Alligator mississippiensis: one gene and its partners. The protein of the gene in region 1 purifies or fractionates together with the protein of each later gene. This does not show direct contact. Links are inferred from orthologs where the notes say so. Each region holds a gene or a part of one and is shown in the gene's direction. Other genes may lie near its edges. The genes, in order: FOXM1, MYBL2 and CCNB1.

Region 1 (9,924 bases):
TCGTGCTCCAGCCCCGGCCGGGCCTCACCTGCCCCCGCAGGGCGCCGCGCGGCCCCTCGCGCTCTCCATCCCCGCCCGCGCCGTTGCTATGGGAGCCCAGTCGCGCTAGCTCGGCTCCTCTGCTCCCTCCGCACTCCTCCCCGTGCCGTTGCTCCAGGCAACGGCACCCGGCACTAAGGCGCGGCACCACTGGTGGGAGGCGCAGCACGGGGCGCGCCTATTGGCTGCGGTCGAGAGGGAGGAATGAAAAGAGAAGCCACGCATGCGCACCGCGCGGGGTGGTGCCTTAGGCGCCGCCCCGCCCCGCCCCGCCCCGCCCCACCGAGCCCGGCCAGTGGGGGCGGGGCTGGAGGAGCCCCTGGGCGACCCCCCCCCCCCCCCCCGAGTTCCATTTAACACGGGGCATCGCTGTGAATAGCAGCCCCCTGGGTATGGGGGGAGCTCAGCTGCATGTAGAGCAACCCCATGCACCCTCACCCCATACCGTCTTGCTGGAGCAGCCCCTACTGCCCAGCTACAGGGGCTGTGGCTTACCTGCCCTAGGGAGTCCAGCCCCCTCCCCCCCCACGGCTGTGTGCCTTCCCCAGCTCCTATGGCCAGGCAGTGGGGGCTTTTCCAGCTCAGCTTCTAGGGCTGGGTAGTGTGGGGTAGCTCCAACCATGTCCCTGCAGCCAGGCTCATGGCTTCCAGCTGAGCTCTTATGCCCTGAGCAGGTAGGGCTGCTCCAGCTAAGACTGGGAGGAAGGAAAGGGCATCATTCTGGCATCCCCTATGTTGGTACCCTTCTTACCTCACTGCTCTTAGTTAAGCTACTGCCAGGAGCAGCAAATTTGAGGCAAGGATGCCTCAAGCTGGACCACCTCCCCCCTCCCAGAGACATTCACAGCTGGACCACACAGTGGATTGAAGCACCTCTCGGTGGGAGTAAGGAGTCTCAGCCTCACTGGGGCTTAGGTCCATGCTTTGAACAAGGCATCTCTCTCTTCATCCCTGCAGAGTCATCTCCCAGTGGGACCTCCTTGCATTAAGCCACCAGCACAGAGGAGATGCAGCTGAACTCCTGTTCTGCTCCAGTCAGCAGCTGCCTGTACCTGGGAGCTCAGGTCAGTACTGGCTCATCTTCACCATGATGTCACTATTGCTTAGCTTCCCCTTCTTTCTCAGGTATTTCAATAGGTGAGGCCGTTGCCTCCAAGTTACCTTCACTCCATACTGGTGTTCTGGGGTGTCCTTGACTAGTGATGTTGAGTCATGGCTTTCCAGTCTGTCAGCACAGACAGTGACATCACTATGTGCATACAGCGGGAAGGTATTCACGGGTGACACAGTGCCACTCTGATCAAGGCTCCTTGCAGATGACAGTTCTGGAGTCTGTATATCTGGTGGACTGAAGATCTCTAGCTCTTGAATAGGAGACTGAGAGGTTCTCTCTCGAAAGCTCTTTGGGTTGCTGGCTTTTGTTGCAGAGCCTGTCTTGGGCTGGGCATGGCATGCCTTTGCATTAGTTTTGGAATGCCTTGTGCAGGTACAGGTAGAAGTTTTTGGATTCTCAAAAGTTAGAGAAGGAAATCTGCAGACAGCAGGTTTCTGACCAGCTCCTCCTCCTTGAAGGAATCCATAACTCTTTTCCTGGATCTGGAAGTTTTTGGACACATGCTTTTGCTTCTTACCTCCCTTGCCCTTGAAGCCCATGGGTAGAGTGGCTTCAAACTGCGGGGACACCTGAAAAGCCAAACAGAGATGGTGAAAAACCATTCTCTCAGATGGGATAACCCCTCACACTCCTTGGCTCCTCCACAAGGAAACAGCAACACCATTCTCACTGCACTTCCCCTTTCTCTAATGTATCTATTGATCTTCATTTGAGAGCTGCCGTTGCCTCTTCCAGCACGTGGTCTAGTTTACCGAGATTTCCTCAGCTGCAAACTATGTTCGACACTCAAGACAGCATGAAAAATTTGGAGGCTCACATAGCCACAAAGTGCAGTTCTACTCTGAAATGCAGTTTTAAATGTGCTATCTTCTCTGAATATACTTAAATGCATCTATTTTAGTGATAGAATAAATCTTTAATTGCTACTGAATCCTCCACAGTTCAAAGAGCAGGTTGGATTCTGTTTCTTCTTGTGTTTTACAAACCACCAGTCTTGTTGATACAACCAGGAAGACAAAGCAGCAGCACAGGTGTAACTGACACCAGAATATTAAAAGGCAAGTCACCATGTTAGCCTCAAGCTAGGCAGAAGCCAATCTCTAAAGGTACCACCACCCTGTCCTGTTTTCTGCCAGAATATTGTAGGTGAAGGATAAGTATTAAAGAGGCCTAACTGGATTCTTAGACCCCCAGCTGAGGTTGTTTCACTGCACAAAACACATCTTATTTATAAAAGGGACATTTATTCTGCAGTAATGGAGACAAAAAACATAGAATCCACACAGCCATTTTTAGAGACTTTTCAAAGAAGACTTGCAATTCAAAGTTTTTTTTTTAATAATTAAGTCACCTATTATAGGGGTGAATTCTGATATTGTATTCTTAAATTACTCTAGAAACCACCAGTCTCTTTCATGCATTAAATTACTGCGCAACATTTCACAAGCCATAACCTAAGTCAAACAGGAAAAAAAAATGGCAAGTACCTATCCCACTGTTTTCGAGATTTCCAATCAAAACAATTGGAGGATACACAGGTTCTACACACAGGGGACTGCAGACCCCAGGAAATGTTTACGACTAGGAGATTCATGCAATTGAGATTCAAGTGATGAAATGAGGCCTGAGACCTAACTTGGGATTCACTATAAGTAGTCAGGAGAAGTCAGAGGAGAAGTTAGCCCAATAACTGCAATACTAGTTACCCAGCCATTACTTCTCAGACATCTCCAGATATTGGGATATTTTCCAATGTGTTCCAGATCCACAGTGATTCTCTCTCATCTCAGCAAGTGCTTTGCTTATTGATTTAGAAGCCATATAGCTGACTGCCTGCAACATGTTTAAAGTTGATCTGCTCTGAACTTCTTTCCGCCCCCCCCCCCGCAGCAAACAACATAGAAATTGACCTCAAATAACTCCAATTTGCATGGCTGGTGGAGTGTTCAAATGTATACTTGAAACCTCACTCCTTGGGGCTGCTTTGTTAAAAAGTTTTGAGTCCAAAGTAGCAATGCTATTTAGCAGAGCTGCCCAAAGTGATAGCTGCAGCTAAAACCAAGGCAGTTCCCACAGTACAGCAGCACAACTATTTAAAAATCTTTGCACAGAATGGCATCATGCAGGCAGTGCAAATGACTGCAAGACTGAATAAAACGGACACTGAATTGCCCTCTCAGCCCATGGGAGGGGGACGCTGGAAGGAATGCATGGAAAGAAGATTAAAATACAAACTGAGCTGGGGGAAGGGGAAGGGTCAAATGTACCAACCTTCCCTTCCCTTGCAACTACAGCTCATTACAAGGTACAACATCAATTTTAACTCCATGCCACAGACATCAACAGTCCCTGGTTTATTATTGTATGAATGACAGCAGAAAAGCAAGCTGTTAAAGTAGACATAAAAATAAATGCTAAAGAGAAGAACTACAGTTAGGGGCATACAAAAATGGAGCTAGCACCTTAACTGAACAGCAGGGATCCTGGTTTTCTCCGATCAAAACAATCCACAATTTTCAGATTAAAAAAAAGTAACCAAAATCCACATTTTTCCATGATCAAAATGAAACACTACTATATATAAATTAGTGGCATTTCATTTTAATCACAGAAAAATGTGGATTTTGAGTTACTTTTTTAAATCTGAAAATTGTGGATTTTTTTTTTTAAACAGAGAAAACCAGGATCCCTGTTGAACAGGCAGGTATTACTTTAGGCATAGCTTTCAGCCAACCACACTTACAGCACAGTAGCTATTTCAAGTATCAAAAAAAAAAAATCCATAAAATAAAAATGAAAGAATAAATATTTTATTTTCTGTGCACAGGGTTTTGAATTACTATAAAATCCATAAAGCAATTTCTCTTTCTGGATCCCAGTATTCAATGTCATTATGCTAATGTACATGACATGGAGTTCTGTTTCATTGCCAGTGGCCCTAAAGTATCATTCAGTACCTGAAGTGGCAATAAAGCTTGAGCTGCTTGTGACTTGCAAGAGTGGGCTTTGGAGCAACTCCGAACTCTACAGCTAGTTAAACCACAAGGAAATAAAGAAAAAGCACCCATTTATTGGCTCGTGCCAATATCCAGTACAGATCTCTCCATTACCTTGTAAAAGAGAAACAAAACAAAACACTGTATGAAATGAAGGAGCAGGAAACCTGTACTTACCCACTCAGTAGAGGCATTCTGGTCTACGGGTCTGGTAGGAACACATCTTGGGTTCTCAGCCAAAGGAAGAGAAGACCCATAATGATGAACAGATCCCTCCCGTGGCCTCTCAAGGAAGAGCAGCTCTGGCTTCTTGGCCTTGCGGGTGCATTTTTTCTTTGGAGGCATCAAAAGGCTTGAGGAAGCCACTTAGAGACTTCATGATGCTTGCTGGAGCTAGTCAAGAGAAGAGGAAGACTTCTCAGCTACTCCCAGATCTGCAAAGAACAAACGGAGGGACCTGAGGCCACCAAGCAATCTTGAATTTCTTTTAAAAAGTAATGCTTCTGATTGTGCCTAAGCTCTCTGAAAAGAACTGTTTCTAATGAAGACTGGAATAATAAATACATTGCTCTACAGACACAGAGCTAGGCTGGATACAAATTGATGACTTTTTCAGTTTAAGTTAGAAATGGCAACCTACATTAATCCCTACATTGTTGAAATCCTTTAAAACAAAAGAAAATAGTAACGTGGTGCACACTGCCCACCAACACTTTAATGTGAAACCACCAAACTAGGTGGCTACAGAAAAGTTTGCTGAAGTGCTGCGCCAGCTTCTGTGTGGGTTGCCTCTTCTGCACATACAGAGGCAACGGTCTTTTCTTTGGTCCAATCAGTTATTTATTTGTTCACGGCTGAGGAACCAAAGTAGACACTTACTTCCTTCCCCAACCTACATATAAAAGCCGAGGTGGGCACGTCTGAGACCCACCCGTGCTCAGCGTGCGGCCCCCGGACCCACAGCACCTGGCCGCGGGGCGTTCGGCTGCTGAGGAGCAAGCGGCCGTTAATGTCGCCACGCCCCCGGCCCCGCCCTACTGCCCATTTTCCTCATGCCCCTTTTCCCTCAGAGCCAAACGGGGCAGGGCCACACCTGCGTACCCCTGTGCGGCCGGATCGGAGCAGCGACCCGCCCCCTCCGCACGTCCTTCCTTTGCGGGAACGAGCCCTACCGCCCCGCGAGAGCCCGCCCGCAAGAGCCCCCAGCGTCAGCCGGCCCGGCACGGGCCCTACCAACCCTATGGGCGGTCCTGCCCCCCGGTCCCGGCTTGGTGGCTGTTAGTTGAGCCCCGCCCGCGCCACCTGCCTCCGGGTCCGCACCCCCTCCCATCTGCGTGGAGCCGCCGCGAGCACTGATTGGCCGCGCCCCGGATGGAACGCTCGGGCGCCCTCCCATTGGCCGCGGCCGGCACGTGACGCCAACGAGCAGCCGGGCGCCAAATTCAAACGGAGACACGAACGGCGGCGCCAGGGGCAGCGCTTGAGCCCGGAAGCGGCCGCGGACCCCCCCCTCCCCCCCACCCGGCCCCGCGGGGGAGGGGCCCGGCTCGGCCCATGGCGACCGCCGGCGCGGGTCCAGCATGAGGAGCAGCCCGCGCCGGCCCCTGATCCTGAAGCGGCGGCGGCTGCCGCCCGCCGCCCGTGATGAAGCGCCGCGACGGGCTCCGGGCGCGGCGGCGGCGGAGCTGGCGGGCGCGGGGATCCGCGTCACGGCGCACCCGAGCCTGCCGCGCACGCAGGTGGTGGCCATCCCGCCCGGCGCCGACCTGCGCAGCGTCATCGAGGTGCTGACGGCCAAGGGCAAGGGCTGCGGCAGCGACGGGCCCACCAAGTTCATCCTTATCAGCGGCGGCGGCACGGGCACGGCCTTGGCCTCTGCCCCCAGCCCCGCGCGCCGCCTGCCCCCCGGCGGCAGCGACCCCGGGCCCCCGGGCCAGGGCCAGGCCGGCAGCAGTACGTAGGCTCTGCGCGGCCTGCGGCGGGCGGGGGTGGTACGGGGAAGCTCCCGGCCGCGCTTGGGGGCAGGAGTCCCGGCCCTGAGTGCCGGAGTCTTAGTGGTCTGTTTCCCCCCGGGGCTTGTTGGGGCTGGCGGTACAGGCTGGGCACTCCAGACAAGCAGAGCAAAGGTTTTTTGGAAGCTGGGCTTCAGGCTTGCTAGGAGATGTGGGGCTGGAGCCAGGTGGGGAGCTGGGCACTTGACATCACTCCATTTTAGTCTAGAGAAGAGGGGACTTCATAGCAGCCTTCAACTACCTGAAGCGGGGTTGGACTGTTCTCAGTGGTGACAGAATGAGGAGCAATGGTCTCAAGTTGCAGCAAGGGAAGTTTAGGTTGGATATTAGGAAGAATGTTCTCACTAGGTGGGTAGTAAACACTGGAGCAGGTTACCCAGAGAGGTGGTGGAAGCTCCATCCTTGGAGGTTTTCCAAACCTGGCTAGATAAAGCTGTCTGGGATGATCTAGTTGGGGATGGTCCTACTTTTAAGCAGGGGTTGGACTAGATGACTCCTGAGGTCCCTTCCAGCCCTAATTTTCTATGATTTCTATGAAATGCATAGCTAGAGATACCAGGAAAGGGAGATCTCTGTTGCTTTTGGACTGGCAGCTGCGGCTTCTTCCTTGCTACCCCCTCGTGAAGAAACTTGGTCCGTGCCACACCAGGGATGAAGGTTATATTTTCTCAGCTTGGACTTGAATGGCCATTTGGGCTTCTTCCCCATGGGGTTACCTCAACCACTGCCTGCTGACAAATACACTCTTCTAACAAAAAGAAGCCTCTGTCTCATGTGTGTGCTGGTAGATAAACTCCCACATGTGCAAATGTGCCTCAGTACAGGTGCTCCACAGTCTGTAGGTAGTAGCTCTGCTGCTGCATGTGGCTCTTAGACTAAGGAAAATAAATGTATTCACTTTTTGCTACTGCTGTTCAGGGCCCTTGCAGACAGTCAGACTTTAGTGCTCTTGAGAATCACATCAACCTGGGGCAGATGCTGCAGGTTGGCAAAGCTGTGAGCAGCAGGCAATGGAGTTGCTTACATGGAGAAATGAAGTTTGGGAAGGAGCAAGTGGGATGTTTTCACCTCCTTCAGAATGGTCAAGAGCCCCTGGCAGACAGGTAGAATAGCAACCACTTTCAGCAGTTTGAGAAAGGAAAGTTGAAAAGACTTTCTTCCTTTTCCAGGCATTAGGGGATGGAGGAGATGGAACAGTTCACATGGAACAGTTACAATTTGGGATGTTTGTGAGCTAGAACCTGAGGAAAGAGGTGGTGCTCAAGTAATTGCAAGAGGTCAAACTAGAGTAGGAAGGCCAGCACCCTTCTCCCTCCACCACATGCATCCCTGCCAGGAGCTGAGCTCATTAAGGTCCTTCCCAGGCTTCTGCTGGTAGAGTGCATGTCTTTATTTCTCATGGCCTCTGTTGCTAAGTTTAGTCCTCTGGCTAGTACATGCCTGAATTTCTTTTTGTTAAGAGTTGCTTTCAGCAGAAACTCATTTTAGTTCAAGGAACAGGGTGGGAGGAGGGATTCCAATTAAAGCTAGCTTTTTAGGCTTGAAGCTACAAATTGGGAGTAGGGCCCATCCATAATTAAACCACAAACTCTGGCTACTTCCACAAGGTTGTTTAGCTTTGTAGTGCTATTGTGTACCTATGTCTTAAGGGGGCACTGAAGATACCTTTGAGGTTCCTGGTTGGGGTGTCCTTCAAGGCATCTGAGATGTATTTGCAGATAAGTGAGCAATGCTCTGGGTCGATTTCTCTGCAGGCAGTGGAGAGATGACAAGCTGTGCATTGGATAACAGCCTAACTAACATCCAGTGGCTGGGAAGGATGAGCTCTGATGGCCTGAGTCCTTCCACTGTGAAACAAGAGATGGAGAAAGAGAACCAGACCCCTGTACAGGTGGAGGGAATCAAGGTAAGAAGCACTCTAGGGATGAAAGGAGTAGAGCATAAGATAGAGGAAACCTCTGGAGAGGGGAAGGAGATGGGATACATAGGTGAGAAACCTTGGAGGCGACAGACATAACACAAGCCTTTTCCCCATGGAAGGAGGGTGGTTAATCTGGTGAAAAGAAACCTGAGGGGGAATTTGATAACAGTCTTCAAATACAAAGAATAAGTTGCTTATAAAGAAGACGGAGACTCTATCCACTGGGAACAGGACAATAAGTAGTGGTCTTCAATTACAAGATGGGGAAATCTAGGTTAGAAAGTTCATCCTAATAACCAATCTAGGCAAGTTAAACTCTGGAAAAGATTATTTGAAAAGGTTTTGGAATCTCCTTCACTGGAAGCTTTTAAGCATGTTAGACAAATACTTGGATGAGGCATTTTAGATAGGGATGCTCCTATCTTGAACAAGGGTTTAGACTAAATGACCTCCTGTAGTCCCTTCCAGCTCTATTTTTCTGCAATTCAATGTGGAGCTGTGCAGCAGGCTTCAAATTCCTTAACTTGCAACTATCACTGTGTCCTTTTCTCTCCCAGATAGAGGAGGATTCTAGTGCTGTTGCTTCAACCTCCACTTCCTCATGGCAGGACTCAATATCAGAACGGCCCCCCTATTCCTACATGGCCATGATCCAGTTTGCCATCAACAGCACTGAGAAGAAACGTATGACCCTGAAGGACATTTACACTTGGATTGAGGATCACTTCCCCTACTTCAAGCATGTGGCCAAGCCAGGCTGGAAGGTAATATGCTGTCCAGCAGTCATGTCCACTTGTGTGGGTGAGGTCAGATAACAGGGTGACTATAGTGGGACTGTTGGATGCAAATAGAAAAACAATTACCCAGTCAAAAAGCATCAACCTGTGAAACAGGATAGAAAATAGTTTTATAAAGTGCCACCTTCTATTCCTGACATTCCCTTTTCTGTTTCAACCTCTCCACCATTCTCTTTCCTGCTCTAGCCAGGCAGGGGAGAGGATAACTGATCACTAGGCTGGGAGCTGGGCTCCTAAATGTGAGGGGAGCAAGCAGCTTTTGTGATTAAGAAGACCAAGCATATGGTAAATAAATTGGATCAAAGTCTGCCATGGGCAGAGCTTCGCTCCCTGGACTGTAGTGTCTGAGGATGTTAGTTGCACTCTGTAATCAAAAGCCCTAAGATGTCTTGTATCTTTCCAGAATTCTATCCGACACAACCTATCCCTTCATGATATGTTTGTCCGTGAGACGTCTGCTAATGGTAAAATCTCCTTCTGGACTATACACCCTGATGCCAATCGCTATCTCACGTTGGACCAGGTGTTTAAGGTGAGTGCCTCCTGTGAAGGGAACAGGATGGCTTTCCTGATTCCTGAACTCCAGGATGTTTGGCTGCAGCTGACTTTAGCGGGGAGGTAAAGCTGCCTTGACGTATGGCCTGTGTTTTTAGAGCTTCAACTAAGTCATTTAACTTGAGAAATGGTGGGTTCCTTATTTGAAGTAGGAGGCATTTTGTTTTGGTCAGGAGTGATGTGCTGGAGCATGTTGGAAGCAAGGCTCCACTGGGCACTGTGCCAGCCTTGGCACGTGAATCCTGAAGGAGGTCAAGCTATTGGCCATACACTTTCCGAGAGCCAGAGGCAAGTTCCCAGTGCAGACTTGCATTACCTACAGTGGGACTCGAGCTATTTCTTCCTGCAGTTCCTAATTCTGACGGGACAGGGGCAGAATTTCCTTCTGTCTGGGAGCTGTAGAACAGCATCATCTTGTGAAAGCATTATAAAAGGGAAGCTCTCTCCATTTCTATCTCAGAATAGGTGTGGTGAATTCTTCCCATGTTCT
Region 2 (10,504 bases), on another chromosome or scaffold:
TGTCATTTTTTCTTTTTTATAAACAGTAAAACTATCTAAAAGTTCTACAGTTGTCTTAAGACGCATACAATCTAATGTCCTAACTCTGTTGCACTGACAGTTTTTGGTCAGATTAGCTTTTTCTATTTACCTTTTCACTACTATCATCTGGCTGCTATGGTTTTTATTTAAAATTACTCCTCTCACTCAAATGCACCAACTTGTATGTTCTCTGTGAATGTTTACACAATAAACCTAGTGTTTCCAAAACTATCAATCCCACCCAGCAAATTAGTATAGGCTCTAGTTGCTACTTATCCATCCAGCCTGTACTATTATTTTGTGTTTACAGTTAAAGTAATTTATTTATTTATTTTTTTGCAAAACTTTTCAGACTTGTTTTGCTGCCTGTTCTTGATGTTTTAACATGTTTTAGAAGCAAGGCAGCTGAGGGGTCAGAGTGTGTAACCAGCACCATAACTAGGATTTGTCCTTCCCCATCTCTGCATCCATCCATCATGGCTTCTGTACAGATTTCACACAGACATTAGGGCTAGAAGGACCTTGGAAGATCATCAAGTCCAAACCCCCGCCCGAAGGACTGGAAGTCAGCTGGGGTCATAGGATCCCAGTAAGATAAGCATCCAATTTTCTCTCGAAAGTGTTCAATGTAGGTGCTTGAACCACCTCCGATGGCAAGCTATTCCAGACCCTGGGGGCTCAGACAGTGAAGAAATTCTTCCTTATGTCTAGCCTGAAACAGTCTTGCAGTAGTTTATAACTGTTTGACTTCACCATCCCTTGAGGTGCTCTGGTGAACAAATGCTTCCCCAGATACTGGGGAACACCCCTGATAAACTTATAGGTGGCCATCAGATCACCCCTGGGCCTGAGCTTTTCCAGGCTAAAGAGCCCCATAGCTCTCAGCCTGTCGTCGTAAGGTCTGTTTTCTTGACCTCTGATCATGCACATGGCTCTCCTCTGCACTCTCTCAAGCTTCTCCACATCCTTTTTGAATTGTGGGGCCCAAAACTGGATGCAGTACTCCAGCTGCGGCCTCACCAAGGCCGAGTACAAGGGGAGAATGACGTCCTGGGATTTGCTTGAGAAGCATCTATGGATGCAAGCCAGCGTTTTGCTTACTAGCCGCAGCATCACATTGAAGGCTCATGTTCATCTTGTGGTCAATGATGACCCCCAAGTCTCTTTCTTCCCTAGTGCTAGCCAGCGTAACACTGCCAAGCCTATAAGGATGCTGCAGGTTTTTCTTCCCAAGGTGGAGAACCTTGCATTTTTCAGTGTTAAACACCATCAGGTTCTCATCCGCCCATTTGCTGAGCCTGTCCAAGTCAGCCTGGATTGCCCTCTTGTCTTCAGGTGTGGATGCTTTGCCCCAAAGTTTGGTGTTACTGGCGAACTTGGCCAGCTTGCTTCTGACTCCAATGTCCACATCATTAATGAAGATGTTGAACAATATGGGTCCAAGTAAGAATGAGCAAAAATGCCTTTGCGTATTTCAATCTAAATGGTTGCAAGTTGTAGACCAGTGCCACTTGTACATATGACAGGGGTTTAGTTCTCTCTAAACTGAAACGGTGGGTTTTTAACAATTCAAAACCCACCAACTTAAAAACCCACTGTTTCAATTTAGGGACTTCCATCACTGTGACAAAACAGTGAAAGCCCACCAGCAGCTCACCCCCCCCCCCCCCCCCGGGTCACGGGTAAGCTCTGCCAGAGAAGTGGTGATGGGCCAGATCCTTTTATTTATTTATTTTTCTTGGAGCCTGTCTGTCTCTCCCACAGCCGGGGTACAAGCTGCCAGCAGGACTTCAGCTGCAGGGGTGGGGAGGGGCTGGTCTTTCTCTTTTGTGATGGCCCAGGGGGCATGACTGCTCCTCCCTCCCCTGCAGCTCAGGGGCTGAGCGACCCAGAGGCAGCTCGTATGGACAGGCTCTGCTGGTAGGGAGGGGAAAGCAGTAAAGGGCCTGATCCTTTTTTCCTCTGAGCCTGCCCACATCTCATGTGGCCAGGGGTCAAGCTGCTGGCAGGCTGAGCAAGCCTTCCCCAGTTGTGGGCTACCCCAGTGCCCCCCCCTATAGTGGTGGCACCCCCAGGTGGGCAGGTGCTGCCTTTACAGAGGGAAGGTCCAGGGCTGCTGCAGCTCGGGGCCTGCGGGCAGGCAGCTCACCTGCCAACCACGGGAGAGGCAAGCAGGCTCTGCTGGACAACCCCCCCCCAGAATGGGCCCCTTGCTGCTTTTGCCTCTGCAGAGCCTGCCCATGCAAACTGCTGCCAGGTTGCGCAGCCCAGTGGTTCCCCGCAGTGGGGCTGCCCAGACGGGGTACTAGTGAGCCGGTGCTTCCCCAGCTCGCAGGCAGCACCCAGCCCAATCCAGTGCTCAGGGAAGCTCGGACTTGGCGGGTTTGCCATGCCCTGTGTGTCATCCCTGCTGCCTTCCTGCTGCTTGGGACTGCCTGGGAATGAGCTGGCTTGCCCCTGGGGCAGTGTAGGAAGGTGGCAGGAGGGCAGCTATGTATGCTGGCGGTTGGAGAAGGCAGCAGGGATCATGCACGGGGCACTGGAAGCCCACCAAGGCCAAGCTTGCCCAAGCACCATCCCTACCACCTTCGGATATATCTCTGCAGTTTGTTTCATCATAAACTAAAATATACTTTTTACTTTGCTATGTAACAAAGTAATTTAAAGCAAAATACAGCATGATGAAATTAAAACAAGCCACTGCAGGTGTAAATGGTGATGCCATTAAAGTGGTGCAAAAAGGTAATTAAGCTGCTTCAAAGGCAAATTTAGTCACACATCCCAGGATTTTCAGGGTTAAAACGCAGAGCTAATACTGCACTTTCTTCCTTAAAGCAGAAAGTGGCATGCTAGAGGCAGACCATAGTACCCAAGCACCTTTGCTAGGAGCCCTCTACTTTCGTTGGAAGGGCTCTGGATTATGTTGGAGTTATCCTTTCTTTCTCATTTAATCCATTTAACACATGAAGAAACCATTATACATCCTGCAGCATATGGATGAGGGTTTAAGAGCTGTAGCTAGTGAGAAGATGGGGATTTACACAATCACAGTAGTCTTAACATTCAACAACAGTGGAACACGATAGTTAAAAGATAGGGGGCTGCAGTTTTAGACTGGCTTTAGCACTGTAAGCCCCATTTCCTATACTGCCACCAAATAAATAAATAAAACCACAAAAATCATAGGTTGTTTTTCACAAGTAGAGCTGTAGTTTAGGTAGGACTGAGTTTTCACTGAAGCCATTCAACCCCTTTCACAAGCTGGGCCTTCTGCATAGTTGTTAACTTTTGGGATTTACAGGCTTTAAATTACTTTCATCCCCACCTGTTATCCTCTGTTGTGTGTTACTTACTGCACAGCCTCTTGCTGCTCTACTTGTTCACCCCATGATAATCTGCACACCCCTGCCTCCTCCCCCTACAGAGTTTCAGGGGAATTCCATTTTCAGTACCATCCTTCTTGCCTCTAGATGTGTGGGAGCTGTTCCATCAGAATCCATTCTGCTACCAAGAGGAAGCATTTTCTTTTCTCTCATTTTCCTAGCACCTTAACAGGAGCTTTCCACTAACATTAGCCAAATCTGATAATGGTTAGTCTGATCCCTCCACCTTCTGGTGGACTGTCACTTTAGAAACAACCCAGCCATAATTTGAGAGAGGGCAAGTACATCTGTTGTCATAATATGAAGGCTGGATCTGGGTGAGGCCCATTGTTGTTAGTGTCCAACAGCTGGAGTTGTACAGGTGGAAATGTAATGATGGGGGAAAGACTATTCAAAGTTACACCTATGCAGAGAGTCCATGGTTATGTATTAGCTACTTTGCAATTTGTGAATGAATGAGTTTAAAAGCCATCTATTAATGGAATGCTGATCCCCATTTCACTGCCAAGTCACTACCATCTTCTCAAGCCCCTCATTTTGACACAACAACATTTCTGCAGGAAACAAATTAGTATGGGATTCTCTCCTTTAATGTAAGTGGCTCTCCATCTGTATCCTTAGTCATGACTTTTTATATGTATTGTAAGTAATCTTAAATTTAAAAAGGAAGGGGAACAAATTCATGCACAGTAATAAGGATCTTTGGAAGATGATGCACCTCAAGATGAGGGTCACTGGAGAAGTTAATCTTAAGTATTGCCACTTCCTTCCCTAAGGCTTGCAATGGGCCATTATATAAGATATAGAATAATGTCATTCCTACAGCTAGACACCTCAAAAATTCCCACATTACGAAGTATTTCAAATCATAAATACAATTATTTTAAGAATCATCTGCAAATTAGTCCTGTGTGAGACCAGCAGATCTGTAAACATTTTGGAGTGGGAATGTTTTTGTTTTTTTTTTTTTTTTATAAGAAATTAAACCCAGGCCCAGAACTTATAGGATTTGAAATCTGTCCCCAGCTGTATGACCTTGGGCAACTCTGGGGCACCCTTGGTGCCTGAGTTTCCCCATCTGAATGACAGGTATAACACACTCTCCTTTTTGCACTCTCACTTGGAAATATAGGGCCTTTGTACATGCAACAAAATTGCCCTTTAAAGGGGCTTAAGTGCCCTTTTGCACCGTCTTAATAGCGTTGATATTTACACGCTTGGCAGCGTATTACACTTTAAATGACTTTTTAGCGTAGCAAGATAAAACCCATCCAAGGTATTTCAGTTTGATACCTAACAAAGTGCAATGGTGCATAGGGCACTGGAAGCCATTGTGGTTGGGGAAGCTCAAGCTTGGTGGGCTTCTAGTGCCCCATCCCTACTGCCTTCTCCCACTACCAGCATACCCAGCCCCCCTCTTGCAGCTCAGCCTGAGGGGCAAGCCAGCTGCTTCCAGACAGCGAGAGGGTGGTGGGGATGGTGCATAAGGTGCTGGAGCTTATCCGTCTCTCCTGGGGGGCCAGCTGTCCTGGTGCTTCTGTCTGTGGTGGCAGTGCCCCCCAGGCTGCACCTGCTCACTGGCACCTGGCCCAGGTGGTCCCAGGGGGCAGCACCACTGCAGAGGGAAGTACTGGGCCCTGCGCAGCTGAGGCAGGCTGGCAGCTCAGGGGTGTGGGGCAAGCTGCCAATGGGCCAAGTGCTCCCAGAGCTGGAGGGGACCCCGGTGCTTCCCTCCATGGTGGTGGTGCCCCCCCAGTGGCACCTGCCCACTGGCACCTGGCCCAGGTGCCAGTGGTGCCCCTCAGGCAGCACCTGCCCCTCCCCTCCCCCCAAATTCAAGAATGCCTGCATGAGCTGCCACTAGGTCCCACAGCCCCCAAGCTGTGTGGGGCTTGGTGCTTCCCGTGGGAGGTGGTGCTGCTCCCTAGGACTGCCTGGGGCAGGTGCCACCTGAGGGGTGCCACTGCAGAAGAAAGGACTGGGATGCCCCGCAGCTTAGGGACTGCTCAGCCACCAGCAGCTTGCTTGCCCCTACAACCCCCTGCTGCAGGAGAGGCAGGTAGGCTGCGGGCAGGGAGGTGGGGAAAGGATCAGGCCTCCCTCACCCTTGTACATGCATTGTGGGTTTAGTTCTCCCTAAATTGTAACGGTGGATTTTAAAAAACCCACCGTTTCAATTTAGGGAGAACTAAACCCCAGTTGCACATGTACAAGCACCCATAGGTGTTACATTCTTCAGGGGTGATCTGTCCCTCATTACATGAGTCATTAACAGTGTGGCTCTGATCTTTGTTGCTATCAAAATACCTTTTCATTTGTTAAATACCTGCAAAACCATTCATCTTCAGTGCAAACCCTTTCAACAGTAGGCCCTTGTGCTGTCTGTCCCATCTTTTGCCTGGCTGAGCACCCATAGCACTCATGCTGTTTTTCTTCCTGTGTGCCTGAAGAGGGATGCACAGCAGCAGTGAGCTAGCAGCATCTCTCTCCCACACTGCCGGCCCTCCTGTCACATGTGTAGGCAGTAGCTCTCCCTTACTTTCAGAGCGGCTGTGTTTAGAGCTGCGCAGCCACTCGCATCTAATTCTGCACTCGCCCATTTTCTCAAGATACAAGGGCTGTCATATCTCCTTTGCAGGCATTGCCTTGAGCTGTGATAAAGTAAGGGGGACAAATTAAAAGGACTGCAGGATGCTGAGTGGGCCATGGCTGCTATCCTGCTGCAGTCCACCACTGAAACCTTTCCAGGATCGTTTTTGAGGTAACTTCTTTTTTGTCTTCTCAGAGGTGCACATTTCCCCTGTGGATCACGGAGGAAGCTGGGGTTTATTTAACAGGAAGAAATTCTGACACATGGCAACACTGCCCACCACCAGTTCCTAGTTAGCACACGTGTTGTTTCACACTGAAGAACTGTCAGGGTACATGGAGCACTTTCACTTCATCAGTACTAGAGAAGTGTCTGAGTTTATTTGTGTAGAAACAGTATTCCCTTTTTATCCCCTCCCCTCCTTCAGCTCCTTGCTCCTGAAGTTATTCCAGAAGACAGCAGTGGGTGTTAGTGAGAGACAAGCCCATCTAGTACCTAGTTAAGCCAGTAGTTCTCCTACCGTCAATACTCTCTCTCTAAATGCAGGATGCTGGCTTTGATTTGTTCTCTTTTCAGTTCCCCCTGCTCCATCCATGATCTCCGCTGCCCTAGCCTCGCAGTGTCCACCTGTCACTTCTGCCTGTTGCCAAGACTGCCTTAAGTGCAGTATTTGTGCCTAGTTGGTGCACAGGTTCACTCAGAAGAGCCCTCAGAAGAGGGTCAAGCTACTGCTTTTAACTTCACCAGCCAAGCGGCATCAGCTAACAGGCTGTCCCTACAACACTTAGTCCTCTTTTGTGAAGTCAGCCATCTTGGTTCTTTGTGTCTTACATATCCCATGATGCTTTAACTCTGCATTAAAGATGGACCAGTTTAGCTGCATCTGGAGCCTCTGTTGGAGCACAGAGATTTAAGTAGGTACAGCTCCCTTATAACCAGCGGTCAGGGTAGGGGAGCTGGGATGAACAAGCAGGTGGTTTCCAAGATAGCAAGAGTCAAAATTTAAAGCCTCCCCTAGAAAAAGCAAGAGACCTTAAATGCCACCTTAAAAAAAAAGTCCAGGAAATTGTGTAGGACTCCTGGCCGGTCTACCAGAGCTACAGCTAGCCCCATCTGCCAGAGCTACAGCTAGAGGAACAGCTGTTTCATTTATAAAAGATATTAAAAATTCATTAGAGGGTTAAGGGATATTTTTTCCAGGACTCTCTCAAGCCAACTAATAATAACCTGCCCTGCTCCCCCAAACAACAACAAAACACAACCCAAAACTTGCATCCTTTTTCGACTCCTGAGCTAGGTAGTTTTGTACCCTCAGAACTCCAATACTCATCTTCTTTTTACAGTTGGGAAGTTAAGTTGCTAGCCTCACTGTAACCCAGCATCTCCTGAGGGCATTTACATTTTGTATTACCTACAAAGAAGCTAGTTCAGTGAAGAAAGCTATCACTTCCTGCCCTAACCTGGACTATGATGTCCACTATTCTTAAGGAATGAGGAAAGCTCTGGCTATTTCAGAACTCATGGTAAATTTTGATGAGTTCGGAAGTGTTGCCTAGCTTAAAGAAGCAGCTTACAGTTCAGTCAGGCCATCAGGTAGTAAGAGTCTCTGAAGTCTGCCATTTGTTAAATTATTAAACAAAAAACGCTCCAAAAAACACTCCCTCCCCCAATGCTGCTATATTTGCTCCCGCTGCCCAGCACCTTAAAATTGAAGGGATTGGTAGTGTTTTAAGTATATTCTCAACATCCCTACAGTTACTACTGTTAACACTTCCTTTTTTCTGCATAAAAGGAGAGAGAGTAGAATATAACCTCTGAAGGATACTCTTACACACTTGCTTGTTTAGTATCTCTGGATAGCCCTCCCCATTGCCGGTGTTTGAAGGTCTGGAAGTATAGTCTTAGTAAAGCAGATGCATCTTTTTATAAGTTACTGCATAATTGCTATAACAATCCCATGCACACTTAGGTGTAGTGTTACTCCCCAAACTCACCTGATTTAGCCTTCCTGTGCTGTTTATTACTTAGTATCCCAGAACTGAACTATCATTCTCCTAAGCATTATTTTGTCAGGATCTCACTCTGCCCTCTTCCAATTTAAGCCTCTTGCATGGTAGAATTTATAGAGTGCCTAATTAAATTACTTTGAATAGCGTCTCCTATTAGAGCAAAATCAAAGTGCGAGTTCAAGTGACAGTAGTGCTTTATTCAGTAAACAAAGTTACTCAGAGCCATTATAATCAAATCTGACAAACCTCCAGTAATTCATTACTATATAGACAACTATAGACCAAAATTAGTGTTTGTCCAAACACAAGCATCCCTACAGTTCAGTGCAGTAATTTAGCTTTAAGTACTAGCCTCTTTGCATGCTGCAAATACACACTGATGTGTCATAGGTTGTACTCGGCTAGTCCATCTCTCTAGATTTTGAGCTAGTGGTGGGGAGAAGGAGTGGCAGCTGTGGAGATGCAAGCCAGCTTCAAAAACACAGCAACTGATGGTCAAAGGCAAAACAGAGTCAACGCTAAAAACTCTGATAATGGAAGTAGAAACTCTTCTGGTGCATTCATCATAGCTTTGCTCTACAATGTAGAATCATAGGTGTTGAGACAGAACCACAGCTACAGGCTCTGGCTCACTTATCATAACAAATAGACACCAAGGCAGGAATACAGTGTCTTTTGCTAGTAGCAGCCCAAGGCAAAATAATAGCAGAGGAAGACGTCTCCAGAGATAAGGCATCTGTTTTCACAAATCCCAGTGATCTTGGCTCTTCAGCACTCACATCAAGGGACAGAATATTGTCCAGAGGGGCTTGTATCTCAGATATTTCCAATATAGGTGGGGGTGGCCTCCTGATATTTGACAAATCAATTACCGTCTCTGAGCTCTTGGAGAGCAAGTTCTCCATTGACTGGAGGCACTTCTCTTCCCTGCATGGTGTAGAGGACTTAGTATCATAATATATATCCACAGTGTAATCGACTCTGCTGTATTCAGAAACCAGATTGGACAAGTCAAAGGCAACATGACCACTCGGGGTCTTGCAGAAGGAAGCAAGGCCACCATCACAAATGCCTTGGATCTGACTGTGCAATTCACCCTTCATACTGCTGGTCAGAGAGGACTCGGGTCTTGTGAAAGTATGCTGAGGACTGCCTTTTATCATCATCATGCTTTCCAAGTCAAGGAGACCATCCCAACCATCTGGCTTAGAGGTACTGTTAGTTTCTGTGTAGTTATTAACTGGAGATGAGTAGGTATAGCTGGAGACACCTGCCACAAATCCAAGTTCCATGATTTCCTTTAGTGTCATGATACTGGCATTGCTTCTGTGGATGGATGACATTGTAGAGCCTTCCAAGAGTCACTCACTCTTCTAAAATCCTAATTGCATCCAACAGAGAGACAACTTGTAAGCAGAGGAAGCCCCAAGAAGCATGTTACTGTCAATTAAAGCTTGAGAAAGGAGCAGATTAGAAACTTGAGGTTTTAAGTGCACTGGTACAGGGATGTGAAAGTTGGCCTTATTCCCAATATGGAGGCACTTATACCAGCCTGAGAGAGCTTTCATCAGAAGAGCTTGTTCTAGTTTGAGAATTGGAAGACAGAAACCACCCAGTGCCACAAACACAGGCAAGCCCAATACAAGTTGCCTTTATACCAATATAGTTAGCTTGGGTAAAAAGCCTACTCCTTCAGCTAGCACTTGCAAAGAGTTCTACCAGTGTATGAACCAGACCTTGTGCCATTTCTCTTTACAGGGGTGTAGGTTGTAGCTGTGTTGGTCTAAGAACATGGGCAGACAAGGTTCTTTGGGTGAATCGGATATCTTTTATTAGACCAACCTAAATAGTTGGAAAAAAAAAAATTCCTCTCTTTGCACATTTCTCTTTACATGTACCTTCCCGTACCTTGTAGCTTAAATTTGATACGAACTAGAAGTTATTTTGTGGGTCTGTAGTTCAATTTTACATCTCACTCAGCATCATTGTTTTGAAATTGAGCTGTGCAGCCAATACTGAAAATATTGGCCAAATACCATCTGACAAGGTGCCAAGACTGCTTAAGTGGTTGTCCTGGGAGTCAGTCAGACAAATTATTAGCTTGAGCATCATATTTAGCTTTCATCTTTACAATGGCTGAAAGAGTTCAAGCGATTGCAGGAGGCTAAATCAGAGCTCTCTGTCCATACTAATCAAAGACACACCAATGATGCAGCCTAGGAAGTTTAAGCTCATTAGTGTACTGGAAGCTTGTTTGTAGCACAACTGATTTGTAAGGCAGCCCCTTTTTAGCACTAGATTCAGCTGTTTGAGACTCCAGTTCATACTTTGTATGCCAAGAACTTGCATCCTGCCTTCTGTCCACTTCAAAGGATGGCCTCCAATGGCTCTAGTCCCATCCTCTTTGTCCTCAAGGGGCAAAAAGGACTTCAGAGAGCAACATAGCAGGAATGGTCCTTCATTTGATGGGGACCATTTGGCACTCCCAGACGGAAGTGGAC
Region 3 (10,672 bases), on another chromosome or scaffold:
GTGTAGGCTTAAGTTCTGCCTTTACAATAAACAAACATATTTTGTGATGGTCTATGCAATTAGTCACTGTGCCACCTCAGCAGCTCTATCAGGCATAATCAAATTACCCTCTAGGATCTTCCTGCTTTTGAGTAACTGCTCCATTGTTAAACATGAAGATGGTTTTAACTGCAATCCTTCCTCATAATGCCTGATCCTCTTTTTGGATAGTGTGTGAAAGTTAGGATCCTTGTTTCTTTCTTAGTACTCTTGTCTGGAGGCTTTCTTTTTATAGGAGCATAAGGAAAGTAGGGCTGAAAGAGATGTCATGAGGTCATCTATTCCAGCTGCTTGCTCGAGGCAGAATCATCCCTGAATAAACCATCTCAGCTAAGTGTCTGTCTAACCTGCTCTAGAAAATTTCCTCATATGGATGTTCTACAACATTTCTAGGTAGCCTATTCCAATGATTGACCAGCCTCAGAGTCAGAAAGTTCTTTCTAATATCCAACTTAAATTTCCTCTACTGCATCTTGAGGCCATTGTTCCTCATCCTGTTCCCTACAGAGAAAAGCCCATCTCCGTCCTCCTACTCGCCCTTCAGGTATTTGAAGGCTATTAACAAACAACCCTCAATCTTTTCTTCTCCAGAGTAAATAATCCTAGTTTTTGCCTTTTGAAGTCTTTGAAATAGCAGCAGGTGAACATTGAGTTGGATTATAGCAGGTTAACATTTCAGCTGGTCAGAAGATGTGATCTGCTTTTCCAAAAAGTTCATAATGATGCATTTTCATTTGAGAATTTCAATGCAATCTTCTGCAAATGCTGCTGTAGTGTCTCAAATAATCTGTTCTTCTGGTGCCTCATAGTCCTACTCATGTCCTATAAGCACCAAATTCCCTTTTAGAGAGAAAAGGCAGTGCATCATAGGAATCCCAGACTGTGGTGCATCAGGAGAGATGCAATCTGACCAAGTAGGAAAATGTCATAAGCAGCAGAAGAGTGGGGGCTAACAGAGCTCAGCCCCTCAAACGCAGGGCAGCAGGTATGGCTGGACAGGAGCCCAACTGCAGGCTGCTGCTGCAGGGAGGGAGTGGTGTGCACGCTCAGATACCCTGCACAGCCAGGCTCGCAGCTGGCTCAGCAGGCAGGTAAGTTTCTTTCAATCTGATTTTTTTATGACTGCCTGGACTTGGGGCAGATTGAGAACCCCATAGTGCAGGAGAGAGTGAGGTAGGGGCAGGGACAAATCATTCACCTCTGCCCCTGCCTCGGTCCCTGCTGCACTGCGGGGATTGTCCCACAACCCAGCCCGGCTGGGCCCCATTCACAGTGAATGGTGTCCCGGCCAGGCTGGGTTGTGAGACAATCAGAGCCTGGCAGCTCCTCCAGAGGGGCAGCACTGGGAAGCCAAGGCAGGGGCTACATGGCCCCCTGATCTTTGCACAGGGCAAGGGCAGGCTGCAGCTGCAAGCTGGGCTCTGCTCCCTGCCTCTGTGCTCGCTGCAGCTGCTTTGAAAGCAGTGCAATGCCATGTGCATCCCAGTGCTGTGTGGGCTGGGCAGCAAGGCACATGGCGCCATGCCGTGCTGCTTTCAAAGCAGCTGCAGTGAGGAGCAGAGGCAGGGAGCAGAGCCCAGCTTACAGCTACAGCCCACCCTTGCCCCATCCAAAGATCAGGGGGCCATGTGCCCCCACCTTGGCTCCCCGGCAGTGCACCTCTGGAGGAGCTGCTAAGCTCTGATTGTCCCATGACCCGGCCTAGCCAGGGCTGCATTCACCATGATGGGGCCCCAGCTGGGCCAGGTCATGGGGCAATCAGAGCCCAGCGGCATGGGAGGGCCAAGGGAGGGGAACATGCCCGCCCAGGGCTTCCCTGCGGTGTGCGCGGTGGCAGGAGCTGCCTGCCCATGCCCCTGGATGAACTGCTAGGCTCCAATTGCCCCACAACCTGGCCCGGCCTTAGCGCAGCCCAGCCCTCCCCTCCCCACCCCCACCCAGAACAGCCCAATACAGCCCCAGCCCAGAGTGGCAGCCTGCCCTGCCCCATGCTGATCCAGGGCCACACACGGCCCCCATGCCTCCTGGGTGCACGCAGTGGTGGAAGCTGCCTCCTTCCCGTGCCCCAGGATGTCACGGCTTCATCCCACGTCCTGTGCCCCGTGCCCCGTCGCGGCTGTGCAGGACCTGCCCCAGCAGCAGCAGAACAATGACTTGGAGTGGGCACAGGGGTCCCGGGGGCTCCGTCACCTCCAGCCTAGTGGGTCAGCCAAGGCTGGCCCTGCTCTGGCCCCCCCAGGCAGTGCGGGACTGGGGAGGTGGCAGATTGGTTAGTGCGGGGGAGTGCCAGCACTGGGCAACAACCCCAGGCACAGGGGAAGGGGTGGCCAAAGGGGTGCAGTGGGCCCCAGCCCCGATCCTGGGCTCCGCTCCCTCCCCCTGGCCCCTTCCTCTGCAGACTTTCCCACCAGGGAGGGGGCAACACATACACGATCAGCCTCCCTCACAAATTATTTTCTCCCTCCACCTATGGAGAACGTGAACACAAATCAACAGAAGAAATACAAACTCCCATAAGCTAGTGCAGCAGTGGATCCAAATCAAAACTTTACTGTCCTTGGATGAAGTTATTTTTAATGGAAAGTTGAACTCTCCTATGTAAAGCAGACATTAGTGAAAAGGTTCACTGTCTTGAAAGCCATTTTTCCATTGAAAACTGATTGATAAGAAGTCTTCTGTTAACGCCTTATTTAATATATCACATTAGCCTAACTTAACAGCATGACCTTGCACTTAGAAACGGCAGTCAATTCCCATACAGATGCAGTAACAGCCTACACACACAATGGCACTGTACAAAATCAAAAAAGATGCAAAGCTTTGCAGGGATATAACCTATGGTTTGTAGCACCACAGCTCATTGCATCACCCTCTACTCACTTCCATGGGGCATTGTGAAACAATTTGTCTCTTCTCTGAGAATGGTGAACAGAAATGATCTAGGACCAACTTCTTTTCCCTGGTGCCTCCTTGTGCTCTGAAGCGTGGTAATCTGCAACTGCAATTGACAGATACTTTATATGTGGCAGCAGTGACCAAGAGACAGCAATAGTACAGATGTGAGTATTTAGGAGCTGGCTTTTTCTGGCCAGGAACAGGAAAAAAAACAGTCAGCACTGCATGAACTTAGCTAAAGCCATCTTTTATGGCTGATCCTCCTACCCTGCAAAAAATTCAGACCAAGACTATGATCACTGAATGATGGGGATACAGTATGATAAAACAAAGCTGCAGACTCAGAACATTTATAAAAGGAGAACAACAACACCTGCGTAAGCTTTGCTCCATCTTTGAGTACTAAAACATCCAAAGGGGCAACAACAGGCCCAAAGTGTACTGCTATCACCCTGTAAAAGTTGGTACTCCCCCAGGTTGTTACAGGTGTACTGATAAACAGTTCAGGGTTGGCATAGCACTGTCACTCCAGACCCCCATCTGTGATCAAACAAAGGCAAAACATCTGGGCAATCCAGCTGCAATCAACTTCCACAGTCAAAAGATGTGCAATGAAAAGCATAGGGGCACAAACATTTAACAACACCAAACACTGCAGAGTGCAAGACACTGATGCAGTGGCACGTGTTATGGAACTGCACATCAGCATGGAATCTGTCCCCTTTCTTGCACACTGAACTGGGGCTTGTGTGCAAGATAGGCATGGGTGGATAAGTGGTTTGGGCTCACCAGGTGGCTCATGATCCTGCTTCTCTCAAAAGCCATGTCTTGACCCCTCAGCTATGACCATGGCAAAGAAACTGGGATAAAGCATCCACACCTGAGGACAGGAGGGTGATCCAGGCAGATCTTGACAGGCTCATGAAATGGACAGATGAGAACCTGATGGTGTTTAATACTGAAAAATGCAAGGTTCTCCACCTTAGGAGGAAAAACCTGCAGCATGCTTATAGGCTCAGCAGTGCTACGCTGGTTAGCACTACAGATGAAAGGGACTTGGGGGTCATCATTGACCACAAGATAAACATGAGCCTTCAATGTGATGCTGCGGCTAGTAAAGCAAGCAAAACACTGGCTTGCATCCATAGATGTTTCTTAAGCAAACCCCGGGACATCATTCTCCCATTGTACTCGGCCTTGGTAAGGCCACAGCTGGAATACTCCATCCAGTTTTGGGCTTCACAACTTAAAAAGGATGTGGAGAAGCTTGAGGGAGTGCAGAGGAGAGCCATGCACATGATCAGAGGTCACGAAAACAGACCTTATGATGAGAGGCTGAGCCATGGGGCTCTTCAGCCTGGAAAAGCGCAGGTTCAGGGGTGATCTGTGGCCGCCTATAAATCTATCAGGGGTGCTCATCAGGATCTGGGGGAAAGTCTGTTTGCCAGAGTGCCCCAAGGGATGACAAGATCGAATGGTCACAAACTCGCTGTGACCAATGCAGGCTGGACATAAGGAAGAACTTCTTTACTTCTCTACTGCCAGAGGCGGTTCAAGCACCTACTTTGAATGCCTTCAAGACACATTTGGATGCTTATCTTGCTGGGATCCTATGATCCCTACTGACTACCTGCCCCTGGGACAGGGGGCTGGACTCAGTGATCCTCCAGGGTCCTTCCCAGCCCGAATGTCTATGAAATCTATGAAATTCTGCTCTCACCTCTTTTCCTCCCATGTTCACTTTCCATGTAACCCAGATCCCTCCTTCTTCATTTTTCAGCCATCCCTGGATCCTCCCACCAGTATCTGAGCTCTTGCTGTTGCTCTGACCACCTGGAATTATCCTATGCATCTCCACAAATAAGTCACAGACTTTGGCTTTCAGACAGCAGTCATCTTGGTGTCCTCCCTTCACTCACAGAGACTGAAACTGGCTCAGAAGTTCCTAACAAATTAAAAACAAATGTTTATGAATGTCCTTGGGTCCCAACATGGTTTGATATCCCATGGATGCAGCTGGAAATAAAAACAAAATACAACTGATTTCCCACATCATTCCTCTTGTACAAGCTAGAGCCTGCCAATTTCCAAGCTTGGTCAGAGCTTAGAAGGGTGAGTTACCAAAATGTTCTCACCAATCATCATCTGTGTGATATTATGAAAGAACTGGAGCCTGTGGAAGCTGCTAATCAACTAAAAGATCCAGGCAGCAGTTAATGTGGAAGCAATGCTTTTAAAAACCACCTACTACATGCTCCCACTTTGGTATTTCATGCTCTCTTGGGAAGTACAGACTGAGCTGCAGTGTAATTTTCTAATAGTCAACCTGTGTTACCCCAAAACCTTGGATCAGGGAACCAGTGGGTTGTTGAGAGAAAGAATGCTCGAGAGATGGGAGTTTCCACTCCATTTAATGTAGGTTTAACAGATAACACACAATTTTATACTATGAAATGTACTAGTTATCCTACTCCTATGATGTTCAGATAGTCCAGAGTCTTGTTGGACTATTCAGAGGCACTGGCTACCATAGCGTTTCCCAACCTTTTCCAGCCCAAGACACACATTAACATTTTTTTTCTGTGGCACACCTGTTAAGGCATTCTGTCCCCATACTCATGAGCTCGTTGCCACGGCAAAACTCCGTGGCACAGCTGTTCAGAGGCTCTCGAACTGCGCATCCCCTACAGCCAACACGTGCAGATGAATTTCCTTCTGCTTGGCCGGTTCTCTCTCCTCCCCGCCCCCCCAGTCAACACATGCACCAGTCTTCTGTGAATAGTTGGTTGATCTGGCTTGTTGATGCAGCTGGTTCGTTAGCACTAGGAGGCTACAGAATTTTCTTCTCATTATTCCCAAATTCATGTGGCACACCAGTTGAAAAGCTCAGGCCTAGCAATCCAACCCTTTGCTCCCAAAGAACCCTTTGTTCTTTGTACCTTTTGTCTCTTTCTTATTCAGTATTTGTACTATTGCTACTGGCTGTTTACAGACTATGTCATCCAATAGTGAGAAACTGATATTTCCCTAAAACCTGATCTGCATAAACACACCTGTACCTACATGCCTTACTTAGCATCCTGTCTTTCTGCACATCCTCCCCCCACAATCATCCAGATGTTTTGACAAAATCGTCTTGCTCAGCTCGACCTAGCAGGTGACCTGCTAGCCATCTCGGTAGCTATGCAACCCCTGGCAGGAGCAAACACTGGCAGCTTTATAGGGCCATCAGGCCCAAGCAGACGAGCGGACACCGGCTCAGACGGCCACGGGACGCACCAGACTACAGGAACACGGCCCTGCTGGGCACAGTCAGCCACACCCCGCCAAGCACCAGGCCCAGGCCACCCCTCCCTCCCCGCCCCCGCGTCCCGTGGTACCAACAGCCCGCCCCACTCCCTTGCCCCGCCCCATTTTCGAACTTCTGGAAGAATCAGCGCTCGGTTTCTGCGGCAACGCATTGGGGGTGGAACGTCGAGCTGCCAATGAGGAGGGAGGGGAGCAACCAATGAGCGGAGCCCAGTGCGAGTTTTAAACCTGCGGCCGCAGCAGGGGCTGGTGTTGGCGGCGGCGGCGTGCGGGGACATGGCGCTGCGGGTCACTAGGGTCGGTAGCGGGGCGGCGGGCTGGGGTCGGGGTCCCTTCCCCGGGGGCGTCCCGCGTGGCTTGCGGCTGCTCAGGGCGCCTCGTCTCTCCGCAGAACAACATGAGAGTCAGCGCCGAGAACAAGCCCAAGGCCAGTGGGGCGGCGACTACAGTGGCTGGCGCCAAGCTGGGGGGCGCCGCGGCCAAGCCCGGCCTGCGGCCCCGCAGGGCCTTGGGGGACATCGGCAACCGCGTGTGCGAGGAGCCGCAGCCTAAAGCTGCCCTCAAGAAGGTAATTTTGGAGGGGGGAATGCTGGACCTCGTGCATCCCTGGCCCAGCCAGCCTTGTGGGGGGGGTCTGCTCTGCAGATGGGGGTGGGGTGCCAGGTTTGCTTCAGGCTGTGTAGGGGGCTCCTCGGCTAACTACTTCCCTCTCCTGCTGGGTAGGAAGCTAAGCCCACGGCTGAGGACAAGCCTGCTGCCAGGAAACCTGCAAAAGCTGTGGAGGGCACTGCTGAGCCTCTGAAGGAAGAGGAGCAGGCCCAAGAGCCTGCCAAGGTACCTGTCTGTGCACCAGGGCAGGTATGGTATCAAGGAAACAAGGGGGGCTGCTGTGACCTGCTCGGTCTGCATCTCCCACCACCTTCCACCTCTGTTCCCCTTCCCCTAGGGAAGGAGCAAAGTGAATTCAGTGGCACATAATGCCAGTGTAATGGTGGCCTCTTCCAAAGTAGTACTCGTGGCCATTAGCGTGGGACCTGAGCACCTCCGTCTCTAGTCTTTCCTCTTGTGTTCTGAAGTAATGTAGCACCCTGCCTGCAGGTGAAATAGGGCATGGGCAGGCTAAGGTCTCCTTTCCTTAAAGAAGGAAATTGGGGGGGAGCTTTTTTTCCCAGGGCAAGGAGCTGAGTCTAAGGCTTTTTTTTCTGTCTTGCTTCTTCCTCTGTAGGCCCCTCTCTTCTTCCTCCCCCCCCCCCCCCCCCATTGGGTCCAACCTTTTCAGAGCTGACACTTCCATGGGGTGCCTAGAGTCCAAGTTAAAAACAAAGTGAAAATAGAAAAACTAATACAGCAATACTTGTGTTGCAGAGAACTTGGAACCCCCCCTTCCCCTAAAATCCAAAGTTTTTTGTTTCATGATGGATTCCTATTTGAAGTCCTGGCGTTTGCAATGAGGATTCACACAGTACACCTAATAGTACTGACTTTGCATGGTACCCCAGAAAGGATCTCAAGGTTCCCAGGGTGCTGTAGCACCCTAATTGAGAATCGCTGTCCTAGGGCCAGGCCACCTAAACAACTATTAATGTTCCCCTCCCAAAGTATTGGGCAAGCTGAAGCCCTAAGCTACTGCAAACAAGCACTCTCTCATTTCATGACCCTAGTCCATAGGGGAGCCCAGATGAAATGTCTGACCTCAGATAATTGAGGCTTTACTGAGTTGAAAGTGTTGTAATGTAGATCTCCTCTTCCTTCAGCAACTGTTTCAGTGTAGGAATGCATACACCAAATGCTGCTGTCAGTTCGGTGACTAACTAAAAGTTGCCCATAAACTTGGAGCACAGATCCTGGCTTCTGTCATGTACCTCCTACCAGGGAAACTATGGGGGGGAGGTGGGGACTCTGCCAGAGAGTGCTTCACTGAGCTAGTACTACTAGCTTGGGAATAGCCTGCTTGTTTTACTCTAGTTTAATTGCTGCTTGTTTGCCCTATTGTAAGATCCCAGATGCACAATGATATGCTGCCCTAGTTCTGTGTAACTAACTCCTAAATCAGTGTAGAAATATTTCTCCCAAGGAAAAATAAAGGGCCAGGTGGCAGGAAATACTGATGACCATCTTGTGTCTACAGCTGTTCTGGAAATAGTAGCTTGTCACTGTTAGTAAGGACCAAACAGCTGTTCTACATATCGCAAAATACTGGGATATCTAGTAACTGGTCTGCTCTGAATATTGGTGTCCCCTTAACTCCATCTGTTTGTACACTATCTGTCAAACTCTATTTTTAAAGGCCTGATCACCAAATGGCTGAAAAACATGGCCTTAATTAAATATATTTAACTCCTTTCTCTGTAGTTGGAGCCTCTATCCCCAACCCCAATGGAAACATCTGGATGCATGCCAGTGGAGGAAATACTGTGTCAAGCCTTTTCTGATGTGTTGCTTGATGTAGATGCAGATGATGGTTCTGACCCAAATCTCTGCAGTGAATATGTGAAGGATATCTACAAATACCTGAGAGTTCTTGAGGTTGGTATGGCTGCTGACTAGTTGGTTTGGTTGGTTTTGTTTTTTCTAGCACATCTCCCAGCACTCTGCTTCTACCCTGATCCCTTGTAAAGAACTACAAGGACTAGCTGACAGAGGAGTCTAGTCATAGATGTTCCTACAAGCTTGCTAACAGGACCAGAACATATGCCAAACCTTTAAATGACAAGTGCATGCATTCACTAGAACGGGGGTGGACAAAACATGGCCCACAAGCTAGATCCAGCCTGCTGGGACACTTCTGGCCCACAGGGCTTCTTGAAACTTAAACAGTTACTACCTGACAAGATGCTAGTGGCAGGAGGCACTGGGTGCAGCACCAAGCAGCTCAGACTCTGGTCGTGTTGTGACCAGCCCCAACCTGACTTGCCCCACTCTTCTATGCCATGCTCCTGCCTAGCAGAGGCTTCTGCCCTGATGACCCTGTGGCTATTCCCCAGTGTGCCCTCCATCTGATTAGGTGGAAATTCAGGTGAGAATAGGAAGGGAGGTGGACTGATGGTGATGGCCTCACTACATGGGGCTCATGGGACTTTGGATGGCTCTGTGCTTCCACATGCTGCTCCCAGCTGGAGTGCCAGGATCACCACGTAGAGGCACAGAGCTGGCCCAGCCTGATAGCACCAGACTTCACACAGTTTCTGGGACTCCAGTGTGCCACCAGGCTGGGCTGGCTCCATGCTGTGTCATATGGGTCCTCGCCCTGCAGTTAAGAGCTGCAGATGGGATGGGTAGGGTTGGCTTCCTCCTGCCCTTCCCAACATGTATTGGGGGTGGGACAGCATGTATATGGTGCCAGAAGCTGTGGCAAGCCCTGTGCTATTGGGCTGGGCCAGCTCTATACCTCCACATGGTGTTCCTGGCACTCCTAGCAGCATGTAGAAGTACAGAGCCAGCCAGAACTGCTGCTGGTGCACGTGCCGCCCCCCCCCCCCCCCCCCAATACTATGCAAACACAAAACAAGAGGTTGTTTTGTTTGTTTTTTAATAGATCCTGCCTGCCCCCCCCCCCCCCAGGTGTACTTCTGGGGCAAGGGGAGGGATTTCTAGTGGCAATGTTAGGGGCAAGGCTTTGCATCCCAAGATGGCAACCAGGGGGTGGGGCTACCCTTGCAGCCCTCAATTATCCAAAACTTCTTAAGTGGCCCTCCAGCCAAAATAACTGCCTGCCTCTAGTCTAGAACTAGGGTTTTCAACCTAATAAGATGCAAGCACTAGTATTCAGTAACTAAAATTAAGTACTGGACAACTTGAAATAATTGTGCATAACAATTGCAGTATGCAGGCTTCAAGACTCAGATACCATTGCCTCCCTCTAACCAAAAGTTCTATTTTGTAGTAATATTAATTATAACTCTTTCCTATGCAGGAACAACAAGCTATCAGACCAAAATTCCTGTTGGGCAAGGAAGTCACTGGAAATATGCGTGCTATACTCATTGACTGGCTTGTGCAGGTGCAAATGAAATTCAGACTGCTGCAAGAGACCATGTACTTGACAGTTGCTATCATAGACCGTTTTTTGCAGGTATGAGGGGTGTCTTGGAACTATGGCAAAGAACTGCTGGTCTGTCAGCCACTTGTCATTAAGAACCTGACTGCTAATTGATCAACAATGCTGTGGGGAAAGCTGGTCTCAAAAGATGGTCTTCACTGATTTGCTGTTGTAAACAAATTTTAAGCATTACATTTCCAGCTTTCACTTGGAGGGAGGGAAGCCTAGTGAACTGTCCTTGTGTAGCAACAGGGCCAGGTATTATGTGAAAATCCAATGTTTTTGATAATACTTCCATACCAAGTTCTTGTAGAATTCCTAGCATGGTTCACTTAAAAGTGAATTGAACGTAAAAGTTGGGCTCCTGTCAATGACTGTGGCAGGCAAGTT

The links.
Region 2: the proteins of FOXM1 (region 1) and MYBL2 purify together in Homo sapiens (affinity purification with western blotting; 3 studies listed by BioGRID and IntAct, with this or other methods). This does not show direct contact. The link is inferred for Alligator mississippiensis from reciprocal best matches to the Homo sapiens genes FOXM1 and MYBL2.
Region 3: the proteins of FOXM1 (region 1) and CCNB1 purify together in Homo sapiens (affinity purification with western blotting; 4 studies listed by BioGRID, with this or other methods). This does not show direct contact. The link is inferred for Alligator mississippiensis from reciprocal best matches to the Homo sapiens genes FOXM1 and CCNB1.

The regions. Positions count from the first base shown.
Region 1 is NC_081827.1:143,898,178-143,908,101, forward strand, and holds the start of FOXM1 (forkhead box protein M1), read left to right. Parts: upstream 1-5,557; 5' UTR 5,558-5,729; coding exon 5,730-6,102; intron 6,103-7,915; coding exon 7,916-8,067; intron 8,068-8,639; coding exon 8,640-8,846; intron 8,847-9,282; coding exon 9,283-9,411; intron 9,412-9,924. Other genes in the region: TULP3 (tubby-related protein 3), read right to left, coding at 29-69. UniProt on the Homo sapiens protein: Transcription factor regulating the expression of cell cycle genes essential for DNA replication and mitosis. Plays a role in the control of cell proliferation. Also plays a role in DNA break repair, participating in the DNA damage checkpoint response.
Region 2 is NC_081832.1:22,458,625-22,469,128, reverse strand, and holds the start of MYBL2 (myb-related protein B), read left to right. Parts: upstream 1-6,087; 5' UTR 6,088-6,109; coding exon 6,110-6,165; intron 6,166-8,179; exon of another isoform or gene 8,180-9,384; intron 9,385-10,504. UniProt on the Homo sapiens protein: Transcription factor involved in the regulation of cell survival, proliferation, and differentiation. Transactivates the expression of the CLU gene.
Region 3 is NC_081826.1:258,264,665-258,275,336, reverse strand, and holds the start of CCNB1 (G2/mitotic-specific cyclin-B1), read left to right. Parts: upstream 1-6,431; 5' UTR 6,432-6,519; coding exon 6,520-6,540; intron 6,541-6,634; coding exon 6,635-6,811; intron 6,812-6,966; coding exon 6,967-7,101; intron 7,102-8,595; coding exon 8,596-8,769; intron 8,770-10,156; coding exon 10,157-10,315; intron 10,316-10,672. UniProt on the Homo sapiens protein: Essential for the control of the cell cycle at the G2/M (mitosis) transition.